Linked DNA regions of Drosophila melanogaster. Changing the gene in region 2 together with the main gene of any one other region gives a genetic interaction. Each region holds a gene or a part of one and is shown on either strand. Other genes may lie near its edges.

Region 1 (6,171 bases), on a different chromosome or scaffold from region 2:
TAGTTTGGCTACAATTGTCTCTGCGTACAGTTCCTCAGCTGTAATGCTATCCACCGTAGCTGTAAATCTGTGCTGGCCTATTAAATGAATCACCAACTGTTTTACATTTACTGCGATCCTTCGAGCGTGATTGCAATATAGGCATAAGGAGTACACAGATTTTAAGCACAAACGCACAAAATCCACCATTGAAAACCGGTCGAGAGGACGATCAAGTTGCAGATCCACCGTGTGGGTGTCGGGTCCAGCTACCATAATGCCATCGGCGGGTGGAAGCGGCTGAATGGCAAGCGGTTCGTCAGCAGTTTGTGTATCCTGCGAAGGTGGGGCTGGCTCCAGAGTTTCCTTCTGGGCCTCCGTAAAGTCCCTACTACCTTCCATCTCTGGTGCATTCAAACTATCATCCATGTCCATGCAATCGCTGCCGAGGCTGTTGCGACGCACTGCATCGGGCTGACCTTGAAATTCCGTAATTAAAGCTGGCGGAGGTTCTGGAAGATTGACGTGATTGTTGTGGGGCGACGCAGGTGGCGTTAGTGACCAACGACGCTGTTCCTCCTGCTGTGGCTGCAGGTGCTGAGGAGGATCTACAACCTGTGGCACAACGTTTTCCAAATGTGCATTGGCCATAATAATCTTGGACTGTTTTTTGGTAATTATATCCGCCTTGGTTCGCTCAATGTCCAGCTTGGTGCGCTCCAGTTCTGCCAGAACACGATTTAGCTTAGACGAAGTCGAGTCATCATAGCTAAGCGCTGGCGGTGGAGGAGGCGGTGCATCAAAAGGTAGATCCTCGGGTGGTGCCGACACTGCCTCTTCCACAGGCTGTGCAGTTTCTAGCTCCTCGTCCTCCGTATCCGTACTGCTTAGGGCTGCATCCACAGACTTCTGGAATTCCTTAGGCACCCGCAACATAATTTTGGGCACAACCAATTTCGGAATGGGAGGCGCTGGAGGATCTTCTACGGGCTCTGGCGCTGGAACTATACGAAATTTAGATATGTCATTTTAAAAATTTAATCAATTTGTTCTTACTGTTTTCTGCAGGGAAAGGATTCTGAATATCCGATTGCAGGTGCAACTGTTGGGGAAGTTGTTCCGGTATTGCCTCTACGGGCACGGGTTGTTCAACCGCCTCCTGGGAAACGGGTAGTGGCGGTTCCGGGGGTCTACGCACCTTTCGACGCCTTTTCGTAGGCTTCCGTTTGTTGTTCTTGCAGCCAATGATATGGCCACCCTTTTGATTGCACAAGGCACACGGCTGCATCAGTTGAGAGCAATCGTGATCCTCAAACTCAGAACCTTGGACAAAAGTGGCTTGACATGTGCAACAAACGAGATGCCGTGCTCTATCTTCCTTACTCTGCTGCTGGTCCCACGCATCCTTAGCGAAGTGACTCTGGTCGATGTCATGCTTGTTTTCTAGATGCAGCGACAGCTTTTCTACACTGGGATACACATGATTACAATATAGACAAATGTAACGACGGTGGACTTCACGCATGTGGAGAAAAAAGTGCCAGCACTGGTGAACGCTGCAACACTGGGAGCAACGAAAGAATCGCTCCTGCTTCTGCGATAGCTGGGAACTATTCGCACTTTGGATCCCGCTGCACTGGGCCTGGTGCTTGTTCAGCTCCTGAAACCTTTCGAAATCGAACTGCAAATTGCACTTTGCACAACTAAGGACTTGTTGAGACTCCGTAGAGATGGCAGGCGGAATAACATTAGAGTTGCTCTGAAGGCGTTGCAGAAGCAGCGAGGAAACGAAGCCACCTGCCTCCACCTTTGTTTGTTTTTCGGGTTGGCTGACGGAGGAACTCTTGCTGCGCCTGCGCTTCAGCGAAAGCTTCAGAGCCGGCGGTTTGGCATTGTGCTCGCTCTCTGGATGATCGATGACCAGATGCGGCTGCGAAGCAGAGCTTACAGTGCTGCTCCTGCTGCTTATACTTCTGCTACGGGTGGTACCAACGGGTAGAATCAGGGGAAGCGCTGACACCTGAGAAGCGGTAGTGTCCTCCTCCTTAGTGTTGTTGCCAGTGTGGTTTGTTATCACAGACTGTTCCTTGGGGTCTTCCAGCTCTTCGCCGGGATCCTCGACCTCCTCGACCTCCCCGTCCTCGAGCTTCTCTTCTTTCAAAGCTTTATGTGCCCCATTGAGTTTTATCAACGGAACGACCTCTACAGTATGTTCTTTCAACTTGACACTATCACTGTGTGCTTCATCTTCCATATCAGACTCGATTTTAATGACATTAGGGGGCGCTCCGTCTTCGCTGCATGGAAGATCTACATCCATTGTCAGCGAAGGAGAATCCAGTGTATCGGATCCCTCTAAAGAAGGTACACCAATTGTTTGCGATGTAGTCTCATCCACTTCTGGCGGTGCAGTGGAAGCGTATTCACCAACGTCAGCTTGGTAAAGATCTCCTGAAGTCTGACTCTTTTCTGTCCCTCCTTCAATCTCCAAAACAGGACTCTCATTATCTTTAATTGATATGAACTCTTTATCCCCACTTTCAGAATCTGTTTCAAGATTTATCACTGGCGGGGTGTACACTGTTTCCTCAATTTCGCTTTCGGAATCTTCATTTGCTGATTGAAAATACTTATCCTCCACTTCATTGCTGTCAGATTCTTTTGGCTGGAAGTGGTCCACCTTTTCATCGATTTCGGACTCATGATTTGCCCCTAAAGACTCTGAGGGCTGCTCTTCCGAATCCGTTAAGAACTCCATATGGGTCTCACTTAAGGAATCCGATTTGTCCTCCACTTCGGTCTTTAGTTCAATATCATCTAAGAACTGCTCATTAAGTGAGATGCTGGTTGGTTCTTTGAGTTCCTCCGATTTGTCTTCGACAAGCTCTTGCTTTACGAGATCTTTAGAGGGAGAGCCAGTTGTCAAGCAATTTGCTCCTAAATCGACTGGTGTATCCGTGCTTTTTCGTGAATTAAGAAGAGATTCCTCTGCCTGCTCTGCCTCTTCCGTTTCGGCTGTCTCCTCCGTTTCGGCTGTCTCTTCCGTTCCGGTCGTCTCTTCTTCAGGTGTGTCTTTGAAACCCTGGCCATTTGCCATGGTTACATCTATCACGTCATCGTTCTTTTTCGGCTTCCCATCTTCATTTCCCTTAGCGTTGTTGTTCTGTCCATGTTGGTGGCTCTCGTTTTCCTCCTTCGCCTGGTCCAGCACATAATGAAGTTCTTCGATGTCGTCTTCTTCGCCAGCAGCTGCACCTGCCCCGGTGCCCTCTTCCGATCCCGTTTCCGATCCTCTTCCCGCTTCTCCATCATCTCGGTTAGACGTTAGCTTGGCTTGTTGCTGATCCAATGCTTCCATCATATTATCTGCAATCACACGCTGTCAGCAAAAAACAATAATAACATTTAAGAAAAGAGGAGAAAAACAAATAATCAGAGCGCTATTAATTAAACGCACTTTAGACAAAAATTGTTATATTCATTACCTTTGCATGCCGTTGGCGTTGAATCCGTTCCGGTTCTCGCTATTTTTCTTGTATGCTTTTCGTTGTTCTTTACGCAGCTGAAAGCGAAATGAAACGAATTTATTATTACGAGATATTGGGTTTGGTATTTCGATAAAAAAAAATTAGAATGACAGCAAAGGCTAAATGTTTATGCGGGGGTATACACGATAAATTTTTCAGAATATTAACGGCATAAACATTTGTATTGCACAAAAATCGCCGGTCATTGGTTGATCTTGCAGCCCTGGTGCAAACGAAAAGTCAAAATAATTGAAAATACCAAAATAAATGTTAACAAAATGGCAACGTGAGAGCCACTTACTGCTAAAAATAAACGAATTTACTTGAAATATTCTTGGAATGGACACTACAATCAAAATGTACAGCAATTATGCACGTTTATTTACCTGCTCTCCTCCTATGCGTTGCTGTTGTTTTGTCGGTTCTGCTCAGCGTATTATTGCTGTTGTTGTTCTTGTTGCTGTACCCTGCTTAGGTAGAATTTTCCCACAATTTGTAGGCGGCAGAGGGAGAGAGAGTGGGAAGGCAAGAGAGGGAGAGAAAGAGCGATGAATTTTACGCGCGCAAACAGCAAGGAGAGAACGTAGCCAAAACAACAACCGATTTCACGGAAGTTCGCTGCACAACTGAACCAAAAAGAGACCGAAACCGAGAGAATTTGCCCAGCGGATTGGATTGGACGAGCCGAGACGGCTCGGAAGGAGAGCGGGGCGCCCCCACCCCACGGCGAACTTATACAATTAACGCCTGGTTTCAATTGTTTATAAACTCGCAGGACTCGCATACGTAATGCAAACAGATTTCACAAGTGCACCCAATTGCCGTTGGGCTTAGTTTCGACCAGAAGCACAATGATATTGTCGAATTGCTTTTTTGCCTTTTTGCGCGTCTCTTGTGCGGGGTAAAAAATGTTCTTCTTTTTGAACGTCGCCGTCCACGCTTTGCATTTTACGTTCTGCTCGATTTGTTCGCGCTCTTTTTCACCGTATTTTAGTAGCTGCACATTGGGTAGCGTATGGGGATTGGATATTTCACAATTTGGCTGCGGAGAGAGCTCGAATAAAGCGTGAAAAACAAGTTTTTAGCAATATTTTTCGCCTTTTTTACAGCCATGCCATTGAAACACGCGCAGAAGCTAGTGATGGACGATAGTTCGATAGCTGGCGCAGCGTGTTGGTGTGACTGCCAAAAATGCAACCGTGTGACAGGCATCGCTGTGCTTTTCCCTTGCGGTTCAATGTAAGCATATCGATACTTGGCCAGTACCAGCAATTATTGTTAAAATCTTATTTACACGGGCTATTTAAAAATATTATCTTGAGTAATTATCTTAATTTTAAACGAACCATTATAGCACGTCCAGTATCACAGTGGATCAATCATAACTAATATTCGTAGTTAGCTATCGATAGTTTTTTCCATCCCTGAATCGAGGTTCAGTGTCATACCGATTTGACAAGCTCTTTCCGTTTCCTTTTCGCGTGAACGTCCAACATGAGAGCCAAGGGATTGGTTAGTATTTGCCAAAATAAATGATTTATACAATCATTATTTTAGTTTAAAATGCGTGCAACAGATAAGCAAAAACATAGCCTATTTGGCGTAATCGTTGGATTTTTTAAAACTCCGTAATTTCTGTGTAAAAAACGACATTGTCGTGGACAATGTTTGCCGAGCCACTTTTCTTAAAAATGTGATCCTATCTAACTCACAAAAGTAATTTACATAATTGTGAGAAACTATTATTCAGTACGAATTTATAACTAACTATTCAAACATATTCAATATAATAGAAATACAACTGCTTTGTGCCGCCGAAAACATAACCTTCAAAAACCAACAGCCATGCGTGTGTTTGTTTGCCTGCGACTGTTCGCATTTGTTTACAATTGTTTTATGTAGACCATTTAAACTAATCCAAATCCCATTTGCAGTTGAAGGAGTACGAGGTCGTGGGCCGCAAGCTGCCCAGCGAGAAGGAGCCCCAGACTCCCCTCTACAAGATGCGCATCTTTGCCCCCGACAACATCGTGGCCAAATCCCGCTTCTGGTACTTCCTGCGCCAACTGAAGAAGTTCAAGAAGACCACCGGCGAGATCGTGTCCATCAAGCAGGTGTACGAGACGTCGCCCGTGAAGATCAAGAACTTCGGCATCTGGCTGCGTTACGATTCCCGCTCGGGCACCCACAACATGTACCGCGAGTACCGTGACCTGACTGTCGGCGGTGCCGTCACTCAGTGCTACCGCGACATGGGAGCCCGCCACCGTGCCCGTGCCCACTCCATCCAGATCATTAAGGTGGACTCGATCCCTGCCGCCAAGACCCGCCGCGTGCACGTGAAGCAGTTCCACGATTCAAAGATCAAGTTCCCTCTGGTCCAGCGTGTCCACCACAAGGGCAACAGGAAACTGTTCTCGTTCAGGAAGCCCAGGACCTACTTCCAGTAGGATTCTCCTGCATCCTATACCTATGACTTAGTGGATTTTTTCAATAAATGAGAACGTTGAAGAGTACACTAGTTGTGAAAGCTTCTTTATTTGAGTTCTCCACAGGAGTATATGACAATCTTTTGGCTGGGAGTGCCCGACTTGGAGCCACAACGTTCCATCTTGCGCACCACCTCGGCGCCACTGATGACATGGCCAAAAACGACGTGCTTGTT
Region 2 (7,380 bases):
ATCTCGTGTGTCAGTGTGAGAGTGTGTGGAAGTTTCGGCCAGCCTATCATGTTAGTGTGCTCTGCTCTACCTCTTCCCATGCATCCTTTTCCGATGGTTCGGGGATGGGGGCACAGCATTGCTCTTTCCAACCCGTTTTTTCAGCTGACCAAAAATTATGTTCACCATTTCGGGGCGCATGTCAGGAGGTTGTTTCGGTTCTTTTGCCGCAGAGGACAAATGAAAAACACACATTATTTTAAAATAATTTTTTAAATAAGTAACTAAGAGCCTTTATTGAATACAGAATTTCTGATGAAGCGTAAAACTAAAAAAATATTAAGCTTTAAGGACCTCACCGTTAAATCCAACACGCAAAAATGCATTCTGTATTTAATAATTTCCCTGCATATTTTTAAGCTTTTTAAAACACTCCACAAATAACATTCCAAACTCAACGCAAATATTTATTTTCCCAAGGAAAGTCCTTATTGTAATTGAAATCCTTTAAAAACAAAATTAATCACGGACATGTATTTTTTAAAGTTTTTTTTACCATCAACAAAATATTTGTCTTATCCACAAAAAACGGCAAGAAGAATACGGAAAAAGGGAACTTTTTTATGGACCACATGCCGCGCCCACTTGTTTGGGCCGACCGACACAAAGCTTACATAAAATTATAGAACACGCCTAGCAAAGCGGCAAAAAAGTGCAGCATTAACTGAAATAAACGCAAAAGTGCGCTGCGATTTTTACCCTATCTTATTATTAGCACCACGCTGTGCCAGTATTGGTGAGCGATTCTGGTTTTCAGTTTTTCTTTCCGCTCCACCTCGCCACGCATAATACGCTTCCTACTATTTTTAACTGCAATTTTTTAGTTTTGTTTGACATTTGCATTTACTTTTTTCCATTATTCTTTGCTGCGCTTTCAACTTTGTGTGAGCTCATGTGTGGCAGGCACTAACACAATTACACAAGTGGTTAGTGGAGCGGGGGGGCGCGACCGGGAGGGGGCGTGGCGGTTTTGGCGGTATGGGGCAAGCTCACACTATCAATTAGTGAATTACATGCGAACAACGAGCGGAAAATGCCCGAGCGGGTGAAAAACTGCCGACAAAAATAGAAAAATTGCACAAATTTGTTGCGCACATCAAAACAAACACACGCACACACACAGACACGCGAGAGCGTGAGCACATACACACACACTCACTTGCATGCTCCACTTCGGTGGACTGTGTCTGTTATTCCCCTCATTTAATTAACAATAAAAATAGGCTAAAAAGTCTTAAAAAAGCAAAAACTGCACGCGAATTATGCAGGCGCACACAAACAAGCCACACACACTCACATACATTGCAGTCATGCCATTTGTTAAACAATTTTAACTCGCGCCCCCAAGTAGGCAATGTTTTCCGCACACGCACACGTACACACACACACACACGCACACATGCAGAGTGGCGCGGCGGCGAGCATTAAAATGTGATCCGATATAATACATGAATTATGTAAACTATTTTTATTTTTGTTTTGCCTATTTATTTTTGCATTTTTTCGCTGCATTTTTCTGACACGGTATTGGTGCGAACTGCCCCTAAAAAACGCGCTGGTGTGCGTGCCTGCGTTTTGTGGCCTTTGGCATTAGCATTTGGTTAACGTTAACGGGCGACCACTGCAACAATTGCCAGCCCATTTGATATTTGTGGCGGTTAGCAACAGAAGCGCACTGCAAATGCTCTTCCCTCCCGGCCCTCGTTCGCCACTGCTCGCACACGCTTGCCGTCTCGCTTTATGTTTGTTTTGATTGTATTATACATTATTTGGACCATGTACGAGTATTGGCTTGGGATCGGATCGACTGATATTGGGAGTGAGTCTATTTATGCACTCGTCCAGTGCATTCGAGTTTTGTTTTGCTTTGCTTGTTTTTTGCATTTAATGGCCGCACTTTTTTGCACGGCACTCTCCAAATTGTTTTTAAAATGCTAACTTTTTTCTTGGCGCTTTAACTTATTTATATGTGTTCGCGGCAAAATATTTTACTTTGTGCTTTGGTTTACGCTTCAAAGAAACATAAATATGGGAAATGGAAATTATTAATTTTTTACATGTTTTCAACGGTTGGGAATTAATCAACGTTCGGCGAAAAAAATTGCAAATTCAATTAAAAATGTTTATTAATGTTTCAATACTCGAAATATATAGTTTTGCGATAACGTCGCTCTGGGCCATGCTAGATTATTTATGTGGTGCGAATAAGATTTTGGCCTGGCTTTATATTTAATTAGCCGAATTTCATATATGGAAATAATGGGTGTTTTCTGAGAGTATCTTTTGGTGATTCAATAAATCAAGTATTGCACTTGAGATGTCAAGTACTCTTGTTAGCCGCATATAATTCAACAACACATACACAACATGTTAGAGATCCAATTATTATTAGTTCTTCAACTGTAGTGAATAATGAAAAAAAATACAAAATAAAATAAAAAAGGGTGACTGCATCCATTCTCGATGTCTCAGTCATAAGACTTTCACTATAGGTGAGTACTGCTAAGGTTGACCTGAAACAGGAAGTATTCAGTGAAAGATTTGTATGATATGTTTGATTGCTTGTATTGAGTTTGGCTTATTCGAATATGAAATTCTATCCAAATCCGTTAAAGGGAAACCATAGGTCTTACCATTGATCTAAAGTAGGTCTTAACAGAAGACCATCCCAGATTGGACGAGCTGTCCCAGTGACGGTGATTGTACCGGTCCTCAAAGTCATAGGTGCTGCCCAACGAAGTGGGAAGGGGATGGACCTCCAAGAACTGAGACCAAAATCCGGCAGGCATCAGAAGTAGCACCTTCAGCACCCGCTGCCAAGTGACGACATTTTCGAGGGTTAGATCCAGATCTCCGAACAGAGTTGGAGCGAAGATCACGGCAAGATTGTTGACCGTCATGCGGACAGCAGGACTTTCGGCAATTTTCTGCCAGTGAAGCATTAAGTAGGCCAACGTATCCCTGTGAGCCTGATGCAGCTCCAGAACCGCTAAATATACCGCCATCTCCACAGCCAGACGATCTTCGTGCCGCGTGGCCTCCTCGAAATCCCTTCGGTGGTAAATGGGAATCAGAGGGTGAACCAACTGCCGAAGAAAGTCCTTAACACAACAGCACAGTGTGTGGGTGTCTTTATTGCCCAAATGCGGCGTGGACTTGCCACGCAGCAGCTTCCGACGCAGTCGTTTGCATTTCTCTCGGGTGGAGGACACCCGGTAGAGTCCCTCCTGCTGCAATCCCCGCGCCTCGATCTCCGTTACACAATGGACAATTAAGGCCGGCACCATGGGCGCCACCCGAGGCGCATAATCGCTGAGACATCCTCTCTTCGTACCGATTTGAGGCTGGGGGATGCAGTTCACCGTCAGCTGGCGGCAGCAACCGATGTGGCAGCGGAGCGGACACGCCCGACACCTCAGGCTGGCCATGGCGAAGCGGATCCTGGAAGAAGACCAGGGACACGCGGTTAGGGAGGTAAATGCTGGTCAGAGAGGGTTGGGATGTTATTTAACTTTTCATGTTTTCCCTGAATTCGAAATCCTCTCAGAAGTTCCACCATTCGGTGATTGCAACTCACCTTTTGCGGCAGTGTACGCAGTTCCCCACGTTGTAGTAGTAGGACTTAATCTTGAAATTGTGCTCCCTCAGCAGCCCCGAGTGGGACTGCGAGCAGAAGTCGAGTCCGTCCGTGGATAAGCCATCGCAGCCACTGGGATTCATGTCCACGCGATCCTGCAGCGAGTCCAGGGACTGCGATCCAAACATGCGGTAGTGCTCGCTGAGGTCATCGTAGGACCTGTACTCCCGCAGAAGCCTCCGTTTGTTCTGCATCGTGGGGCGAACGGGCGACAAATAAAGTCGATTTGAGGGCGTCCGACTCCCAGAGCCACTAATCATAAAGTTGGCGAATTGATTCAGCTGTTCTGGTCAGTTGGCAATTTCCGAAGAGAGGCCACTTCGGCTTGAGTCAGCTACGCAGAAGTTATCGGCTCGCTTCTCCGAATACTCGACCGAAATGTTTATTTACTCTTACGGTTTATTTGGAATCGGGTGAAAGCTGATAGCTTAAATAGTTCTGGCAGCACAAAAATTCGATCACCCATAGAGAGTGCCTACTGTGGGTCGTACATTTGTAAATATTTCTGGATAATTCATACACACATCTAGGGTGCTCCGCAGAAATTTAATGGGCGACTAAGGTGTTACTAAGAAATATCAAAAATGCTGTTTTCAATACAAAAAAAAAGTGAATCAAATTATTATAAACATTTTTTGTGCCTAACAATAACAGATATTTGCCCTGTCTTCTTCATATAAACAAGTCAGTGGTGATCTTTTTATATTTTCGATTCAATTAAATCGTTAAAGACAATCAATCACACCGAGATTCAATGTCACGATACAAAAGCTAAAAATCCCTAAAAACAAAAAGAATGTAGAAAATCGAACTAAAAAAACAATTTGCTAAAGTATCTATGAATTCTAAGCGCCCAGAAAATGGCTCAATGGCGCCGCTAAATGGATGAAAAATTCATGGAAAACCGTTTTGCGGCCACCAGACATAGAATGCAACCAGCAAAAATGTAGCACGAAAAAATGCTGCAGTTCATGTGAGGCCGGAACGTCAGAAAGCGAAAATGTTGAGTAAACGTGCTGCTAAAAAAACACAAAAATTAGAATTTAAAGGGACTTCGAGCTTGGAACTTTTGTGGAAAACGAAACATGGATCTGTCTGTTGATTTAATGGCATCATTGGCATTGATTTTTATGCGATTTTAAAGTTTGGATAGAGTAAAAACAAAATTATCATGGCACTTTTCAGTTTTGGGCTGTGAATTGAAGAGCAGCGCCAGCAAAATTAACGAGCAAGGCGGGGAATTGGATTTTTATGCTTTTTTGTAGTCGTTTTTTAGGCGTCAGCTGCATTGACGCCGGTGTGCCTATGTGTGCGTGAGCATTTGAGGGTGTGGGTTTAGGTGTGTGTGAGCTTTGGGCTGAAATACTAAGGATGGTTGCCACTGCCACATTGAATTCGTAGTTATTAATGCGTATTGAAATGCACACATTGCAGTGAGTGAGAGTGTCTCTCTCTGTGATTATGCGGCGTGTGTGTGGGCGTAGTATTCATAATTGCACTTGTGTGGGCTTCTATCTGTGTCCGACTGTTTTGTTTGTATTCAAAGTCCACAAATACGAGTCACGCATCGCAATAAGCCCATGCAATCCCCTGCCTCACTCCTCACTCCACTTTTCCCAAAATGCTTTTTTGTACTTTTTCTGATTCGCCTCTGACTGTGTGTGTTCAAATACGTGTGTGGCCCTATGTGTGTGTCTGTCCGTTGCGTATTCCAAAAAGCAAAAAAAAAAAGTACAGAAACACAACAAAACAGCATAAAAAATGTTTGGACATCCACAAAACATACAAAAAAGAGGGGAGTTCTGGGCAAAAACGAGTGGGAAAAAATGGCATCAAAGCACGTTGACAGTGTTGCCACGTGGTGATAATTAATTTTTCACACACAAAAGTTGATCAAAATGTTTTTATCCGGTGCCTCCAAAATTTAAGGAATTATTTGGTTGCATCGAGCTCAAAATATTTCAACTTTAAAGCTTCTTAACAGAATGAAAAAGTTTAACGCAATTGTTATAGATTCAGGATGTTGCTTAAAAACATCTTAGCACATGGTTTTCTGTACTAAAACCATGAAATCAGCAATTAATTAATTAAAAGTCTCAGATGTATATCATTTAGCTACTAGGGAACACTCTTAAAATATCCACATAGAAATAGAAATATTAACACCCACCAGTATGTGGGATAAAACTAGATATTCAAATTCTGAAAAGCTGGCCTACACATAAGATGACCAATATGATTTTAAGGACAAAAAATCAGTTCACTAAGTGACCTTTTGTGAATTGAACTATAAATCGCAAAACAACCTGTTAAAGAATTCCGCCTCAATCGTCGCTTTGTCTAACCCAATTCTAGTTGGGCACTAAAAACAACAATTTATAATAAATTGTATTTTTCAATGGCAACTCTGCTATTTTTTAAGACTCTTCCTCTCCCTTTCTTTCTGCCGCCGGCCAGGATGCAAAAACCTAAAAAACAAAATCTAAAAGCGAAAACACAGATGCAAATGCAACAGCAATAGCAACACCACCAAAGCGGTGGGGAAATGACTGCAAAAAAATGATTGTGTTTTGCGAACGGGGGGGGGGGGGGTTCAAAATGCACAAGGTGCAAGCGAGACGGGGCGACAGAAAGGAAAAAATTTATTTCCTGTGGCAGGAAAAAAATTGGAAAAAGGAGGGGCGCCAAGAGAAAAAAATGCACAGCAAATGGAAATGGAAAAAATGCTGGGAAAAATGTGCAAACTGCTGGGAAGAAAAAAGAGCGGGGGTGGGTTGTGCTGGGCGAAGAAGTTGAGGCAAGGTTGCAATGCGAAAAAAAGAACTTAGAAATATCAGCAACCACGGCAGCAGACAAACGTCGACGCCGGCAGAGGGCTGCAGAGGGCTGCAGTGGGGTGGTTTGGGATGGCTGGGGGTAGCTGGGGTTGGCCGGCGGTGGGGGGCTGAATGGGCTATAGTGGGCGGAGTGGGTGGCCAAATGTGAGGTGGTTGCTGTTGGCAGTTAAGCCAGCGCGGTGGCTTAGGTCAGGGCGGAGGCTGCTGCCTTTCCTGCTTTTTCTGCTGCTTTTCGACTGCCCGAGGTGAGTTCTGCTTGGGCCCACCCCTTTGGGGGGCGGCCACCCGTTCGCTGCCACATTTTTTGGGGATTTCTAGCGAAACCCATGTGGGGCTGATTGAGTGCTAGAAAGCGCAACCACAGAAACAAGGCGGCCAGCAAAACAGTTGCCTACTTCCCGGCGCTATTGATTAATCTGCCAGTTAACGGTATTTTAGCTGAAATATCGCCGGAATAAATGCGGAGCCACAATAATGACTTTTGTTAATTGTTGACCAGTGCCAAACAAAAACAAATCACAAACATATTCAAAAGCACACAAAAACAGCCTGCAAAGTCAAATGAAACGTGTGCTCTCGCTCTCTCTCTCTTTCTCCTTCTCTTGCGGCATTCCCCTCTCTTTTGCGCAATAAAAAAAAGTACGTTCGCATCAAAGTCGAACAAAACAAAATGCAAAAAAATGGTGGCAGGGGGTGGCTAACAGGGGGTGGGGCAGACAGGATATTTGGGGCGGCAAAGGCTAACAGCGAAAAAAATTCCAGTGCGTCTGTGTGAGTGTATTGGCATGGCCATGTGCTTGTGTGCGTGGGTTTGTCGCCGGCGCAAAATTCCCCTTTATTTTTTTACACAATTTTTTTCCGCGTTTT
Region 3 (6,948 bases), on a different chromosome or scaffold from region 2:
GCACATTATCGACATCACAACCTCGGGCGCACAGGAAAATGATACTGCTTCAATAGGTGAGTTGAAGTTTTTAGAACTTTAACAAGCTTGTATATTCTTGCACCGCACTGAATTTGAGAGATTTATCTAAAAATGTCCACTTGGTTTTGCCCTTTTACAGAAATCACTACACCCGACCCCTTCAAAGATGTCATACACACAGAACCGTCGCCCAATCTCGATGAACTAATCGTTGACAAGGCGAACAAAAAGCCGATTGAAGAGCATATCGAGACCGTCACTTACAGTGTTAGCAACTCAACAGCCTCCTCCATATCGTCATCCACAAGCGGCACAACCAGCACAACCAGCACATCCACGTCGACGACAACGGAAAAGGAAGCCCCCTTGATAGATAAATATGAAATCAATAAATTGGATAAGCTCTTGGATGAGCTGCTCGGTATGGAGTTGTCCGAAGAGGATGCAGCAAGCAGGACAGTGCCTGCATTTAAGCAACTGCCTACGGCAACGCCAACGATAGCAAAATCAACAACAGCAGCAACAGCAACTGCAGCAGATGCGAGTGCAACAGCAGCAACAGCAACTGCAGCAATTGCATCAAGCACGGCTGCAACATCGACCTCTGGTCGGCCAACAGTGACGACACGTGCTCCGGCCAAAAAGGGAAACGGCAAAACGAAAAACAAACAGACCAGCGGCAATAGACGCAAAGTCCAGAGTGGCACGCGACGCCAGAGTACACCGGCAACCACTCGATCCCCGCCAGCAGCGACATCAACGGCATCAACTGCGTCAACAACCGCGGGGCTTGCCACAACAACGGGGAGCACTCTGCATCCATTTTTAAACTCACCGTTCGACAAATTACCCTTCATGGATACCAGCTATGAGGTAAGACCGCACAGATTGCAACCGCAGCAACAGCAGCAGCAGCAAGCACCGCAGCAACATGAGCAGCCACCGCAGCAGCAATTCCACCATTACCAGCATGCAACGCGACCGCCGACAGCAGCCCCATCAGCAGCGTCATCATCCCCGGAGGATGTGCACCAGGATTCAGGTTCTGGTTCGGTTGAGCGGACTGGTGGAGGCGGACTGGTGGGTGGACTTCCGGGTGGCGATGATCCGCTTGGTCAGTTGAAATTGGCTGGCTGCAACATATACGGACGCATGTATCGGGTGGGTCGGATTATTGTGGAGCTATCCAGCCAGTGCCTGGAATGCAAATGCACCGAGGTGGGCGTCAAGTGCGGCCCATTAGACTGTTAATTTAGATATCCCCCCCCCCCTACGATTGTAATCCCCCCAGGAAGTCTGTAGCGGTTAAGTTTCAGTTTGTAGCAGTAGCTTTTAGTTCGTATTGTACTACAGGGTAGTTTAGGCCTTCTCAAGACCCTAAGTTGTATTATAGAAAAAAATGATTAATATATTTAAAACTTAGCATGGCATTTATAACATACAATAATTAAGGCTATAATTAAATAAGAAGTACACGAAATATATTTAATAAAACTAACAAATAAATTATCAAAATCTAAAGTCTTTGTTTTGAATTATTACACTTTATTATTTATTTTGATGAAAAGTCAAACAACAACCAACAAATTGGTTTATAAATATTGATCGCATTTCAACCTTGTGACAAATAACAAATTGCTAGTTTGGGGAAATGTTTCTACGAATTGTGTTGAATTTAATTGCACATCAAGATCATTATGGAATCCATGAGTTTAAATTAAACATTCCTGTCTGCGTCAGCATTAATTGGCCAAAGCCAATCGATGAGTAATTAATAAATTCTATACAGACTTATTCAGTTAGCAAGTATAGGCCAATTAAATGTGTGGCGAGTGAAGAGCACAAAAAACAAGCCATAAAACATGGCCCACCCTTTCTTTATGAGGTGTAAATTTAATGTTTATTCATAACACCGAAATTAAACATTAACCACGACGATAGAATAATAATTTTCAATGGATTTTGCGACCAAATAAAAGACAGTCCACACAGGAAATATTTATTTAGGGACTGTTGGATTGTCAGAATATTAAATAGTCTAAGAAGTTGTTGAACTTTTTGCAGGTTTAATAATCAGACATTAATTGCGTTTAATGATTGATCTTTATCGGCTATAAGATAAAAGTCTTTCATGACTGCCTTCAATTTGTTTTAAAACGTATTTTTCACTATGATATAAATATAATATATATTTGAATGGAACTATCTTATTTGAGACTAAAAGTAAATGGCCTTTTGATTGGCTGGCTGCAGGCGTCGATAGACGATGAAACCGCACAGAATTCCGGCCACGCCCCCTCCAATATGCGCCTCCAGACTGGTGCGCGGATTGCGATTGTGATTGTGGCAAAAGTGGTAAGTTGTAAAGCCCACATCGCTGAGTAACAATATCAGCAGGGAGGCGATGCGGGCAAAGCGGTGCGACAATTGCGAAAAGTTCTGTTCGACAAAGTAGGGATCGTGTAAACATTAAATCAAAATTAAATTGCGGTTTCCAGCTGACTGACCAGAACCAGGTGCGGCACATGACTTCCCAGCATGGCGTAGACCCCAGCGGAGGCACCCATCAGATGGAGATGGGGCTGCAGCCAGGCATTGGCCAGCGAACCAGCGACGCCACCCACCATATAGACCACGGCCAGACGCCAGTGACCCTGCTCCACTTCCAGGCAGATACCTATAAAGCACTGGCAGAGACATTAACCTTCTTAGTAACACAATGCAACAACAGGTGGCTAGCGACAGGATGTGACTATCGAATTACTGCCAACTACTAAGTGCTTTATGGCATTTAAACGAGCAGTTTAGGAAATATTAAAGTCGTTGCTTCACAAAGTGAATCTCTATAGCTACTTTAACTTTGTTGATTCGAACTATTGTTTAGAGTTCATTAGGTCAAAGTTGGGTACTCACCTGAAAGCAAATGTTGAGAGACAGATGCCAGTAATCGGAATGGAGCAGCATATAGGTCAGTAGGCGCCAGTACTCGACGTTCCATTCCGGTTTGAAGATCAGTACTTTTTGCATACACTCACTAGCTATCCAGTGCAAAGATATCTGGTAATGAGCAAAGAAGATTACATTGCACCATACTGCATGGAACTTGAAAAAATTTAGAGCAACATATATTTAGGGTAGTTATCTGACACTTTATGTAATAACATACTTTGGTAGAATATTTGGAATTTGAATATAGCTTATTCACAAGCAAAATTAGAATTTTATGTACAAGTGTAGTAAAGTAATGCAATTCATGATAACTTCTTCTTGTTAAGAATTAAACTCAGGCAAGTGGCAGTTTTCGATTGAAATCGTGAGAAGTAAGTTGTCTTCGCCATAACGAAGCAATCCCAACTTTGCTGAACAGTGTCATGGTAACTGGCTGTCACTTTCGCTCAATCGATCGACACTTGGCCAACTGCAAAGTGCGAGTGTTGAGTTGAGATGCCGCACAATGCGCGCCGCATGAGTTGACAGCAGCCGCAGAAACACGGCGGTGACACCAAATCGGTGCAACATGCATCCCGATCCCACCAAATATGACAAATGCCAGAGCTCCAAGTTGCAGCACTCGATCAATCCGATGACTAAAATGGCAATATTGCTAAATCGGACGACTAAGCGACGCGTTCGATTGTGTAATCATTATCGATTTCTGGGTTGGGCCAAACAATAAAACCTTTCAAATCACCGATCTGCATTACTAAGTGTGCAGAGTGTGTAATGAAGGTATGCAGTCAGGTATTAATTAATGAGTTTCAAATTAAATAGGCCACACTTGTGGGACTTTGTTTCGAAGACAATTTCCCAGGGGCCAATTGGCAATTAAGCGGTTGAGCACTTGATAGAAGAAAAAACAAATGACCAACTTAAAATGGCTAATTTGTCTTATAATATGTTGCCCAAACACAACTTTTATTCACGTTAAATAACTAAAAATCGAAAAGTAATTGTATCAAAGGACAAATTTATCAGTGATGTCTAAATAAAACCTCTTAAAACACATTCATTTTGTCTGTTTGTTGTGCATTTTGATTGAATGGATTGGTGTAATATATCACTTATTTTCCGCTTAGTTAAAACCGCAATAAATCCGCATACGTAAACTATTGAAAAAATTTTCCAGTGAATGAAAATTCATATGAATTGAAAAGCAATTATTTACGAAGCACTCACACAATGGCACCATACACGGATAAACAAAACAAAAGCAAACGAAATGTTTTGTTTAAAACAAATCAAGTAAAAAGATTCTTATTAAGATGCGGGAGTATAAACAAACACATTGTAGATCACTTATGTTAGCTTTTTTTTTAGCTAAACATGAGTAAGAAATTAAGAGCTTATCAGTTCAAAGTTCATAATATTTTGTTGAATATAAAATTCTTTAAACTCTGTTTTTATATTTGTGATTAATATTTTAAAATTCGTTTCACATTAAGGAATTCATAACTCAATTAATTTAACATTGATAAGCACCGCCGTAGTCATCACATATAGTTTCACCTTTGACACATTCACAGGTAATTTATTAGCCTACGTAATTTCTTATCTGACGGAGGGCTTTTCATCTATACACATCGTATATAGATGATTTTCTGAATTGAACACACGCATCACAAAATCACTCATACGCCACGTTGACGGGCAGACAAAAAAGGAAAACACAAAATAATAGAGAATCGAACAAGTGGAGCAACTGCATAAAATCGAACCTGCACAAAACTCATCAGCAAAATAAACCAGGGCACCCGCCACAATCGCTTCCTCCTCACATGGCCCACGTCAATGGTTCGTGTCAGGTCATCAATGAATTTCTTGTGCGATTCCGCACTGAATGCGACACTCGCCGGATTGCCATCCGAATCCGTGGAATTCTCCGGCAGCAGCAGGAGCCTGACATCCTTGACGCAATTGTTATTACTTTCACTGGCACCATTGCTCTCCACTTGGGCAGACATAATGCGATTCGAAGTCGGCGGCGACAACCGATGCACGGAACGTTGAACGCGCGACTAGGCCGAGTGGGTGATTGTTCTTTCAAATGCCCCACGATCCATTCCGATCCGATCGAATCACGCCGGTTGCCTACAACATCATTGCGAGCATTGTGCTAATACAGTGATTTTGGGACTTTCAGAAGCATGCTTTTAGGCGGCCTACGGTTTTTGTCTCGACTGCATCTTATTTTAAGAAAAATCTTGAGATCACTTCAAGATATTATTTTCTTTATTACGAAATTGGTAGTTATTATGTATAATATGTTTTGAAACTTTTTTATAGAACGATTTACAGGGAATAAGTTTGAATAAATTGTATGACAGATAGCTGGTGCCGCGAGGCGCTACAAAATATTGGACGTCACCAGTGCAGCAGGACGAGGTTCAGGACCAGGATACGGCAGTGACAGTGGAGCTTCATTTAGCGACCACATGTTGGTAGGGTAGGTAGGTAGTTAGTGTTGTTGGCGCGTAATCTCATTGATTACATTTTGTTACATTTAGGATAATATTATAAATAATTATTGTACATTATTAGTCATTGTGTCATTGTGATGTTAATTTCTTACATTTTACACTTACAATAACAATTACAACTGAAATATAATTTAAATACCACCATTTCCTACATAGAATTTTCTCTTATTTTAAAAACATTTCCTTGGCATTTGACATTTTGGTGCGGGCGATGTTGCACGCAGGTTGCAGCAACAATTCCGAGGAGCAAACACAAACACAGAAATGTGGTGAGAAGCACTCGCTCTCTTGGCAGTAGCGATTAAGCTTTCAGAGAGAGCTTTTTTTTACTCATTTCAAAGTTTATGCTTTAACAAAAAAGAGACAATTTGTAGCAGTCTTCTCATTCTCGGTTTTTTTTCGGTTTTTCTTCTCCTAAAGATTTATCTTGATGATTTCAACAGCTGTTTTACATTATCAGAATGAAAATATTGCGATCGCATACATAAGCATGTACAATAAGCCATGATTCCAATTACAAGACTATATTATAATTGAAACACAAATTTAATAGTTCCGAAATGTTTTAAAAAATAAGAAAAAATTAAACCTACGAAATGGGTGTGTTGTAATTGTAATTGTTATTGTGTTTTGAATTTTACCTAGTATAAAAACAAAATCCACAAATCTTGTTTTTCAATCCTCTTTACCAAACCGTTCGCAAATTCAACTGCAAGTGAAAGTGCAAGAGGAAAATTTCTCTCTCTCTTTCGTTTGGCAGCAGGCGTCTCTTTCTACGTTGGACACGTGGTGGGCGTGGGCGTGGGCGTTGATGGTGGGAGGCGACTGTCAACACCGAATGCTTGGTTATGAATGGCTTTTAATGAAATATTTATGTAACAAGCAATAAAGAGCACTTTTGGCTTCTCGGCGGATGCGAAAGAGATGGCAGCATTGCGAAATAGAAATGTCGAAAGAGAGGGGGGGATGCACAAGAGCGTTGGAAATAATTGTTTGGCTAGTTAAGTTTGACGCTACGTTGAACTAAGATAAAGCAAACACATAAACGAGGAAACACACACTTGGCACAACACACAACCGTGGACACACAAATAGCAGTGGTTTGTTAAATTTTGCTAGTGAAATGTAACTTAATTACATGATGTCAATTTTCATTTTACTACGTTGTGTATAAACAATATAAATATTTTATCATTTTCTCGCCTTACACCATCTTAATTCTTAATTCTCTGACTTAAACAGCAACTGAACTTGCACGCATTTTTCTCAGTGCTTGTCGTAAACTTCCTTTGCTGGTTGTGTTGCCAGAAGTCATTAACAGTCAACGGCTACGTGCCACAAAAGTGGGAGATACACCCTATAAACGGCAAACTGACAAATGCGGCAAGGCCGAAGGAAAGCAAGAAAGTTGGCTACTAAGCCAGACCCCAGGCACATATCCCGGCTGATG

The links. Genes that interact genetically often act in the same process or in processes that back each other up.
Region 1: of RacGAP84C (region 2) and MESR4, changing one suppresses a phenotype caused by changing the other (phenotypic suppression), as found in Drosophila melanogaster (one study listed by BioGRID).
Region 3: of RacGAP84C (region 2) and rho-6, changing one enhances a phenotype caused by changing the other (phenotypic enhancement), as found in Drosophila melanogaster (one study listed by BioGRID).

Annotation. Positions count from the first base shown.
Region 1 is NT_033778.4:17,546,256-17,552,426, reverse strand, and holds the start of MESR4 (misexpression suppressor of ras 4), read right to left. Parts: upstream 4,659-6,171; 5' UTR 3,893-4,658; intron 3,542-3,892; 5' UTR 3,465-3,541; intron 3,359-3,464; 5' UTR 3,341-3,358; coding exon 1,036-3,340; intron 984-1,035; coding exon 1-983. Other genes in the region: RpL18A (ribosomal protein L18A), read left to right, coding at 5,001-5,018, 5,441-5,956; cyp33 (cyclophilin-33), read right to left, coding at 6,043-6,171.
Region 2 is NT_033777.3:7,282,661-7,290,040, reverse strand, and holds RacGAP84C (Rac GTPase activating protein at 84C), read right to left. Parts: upstream 4,080-7,380; 5' UTR 3,937-4,079; coding exon 3,617-3,936; intron 3,481-3,616; coding exon 2,673-3,480; coding exon of another isoform or gene 2,649-2,672; exon of another isoform or gene 2,590-2,648; intron 2,553-2,589; coding exon 2,526-2,552; 3' UTR 2,412-2,525; downstream 1-2,411.
Region 3 is NT_033779.5:12,128,358-12,135,305, forward strand, and holds rho-6 (rhomboid-6), read right to left. Parts: upstream 5,055-6,948; 5' UTR 4,983-5,054; coding exon 4,737-4,982; intron 3,079-4,736; coding exon 2,935-3,078; intron 2,709-2,934; coding exon 2,529-2,708; intron 2,461-2,528; coding exon 2,239-2,460; 3' UTR 2,159-2,238; downstream 1-2,158. Other genes in the region: CG17211 (uncharacterized protein), read left to right, coding at 1-56, 161-1,272.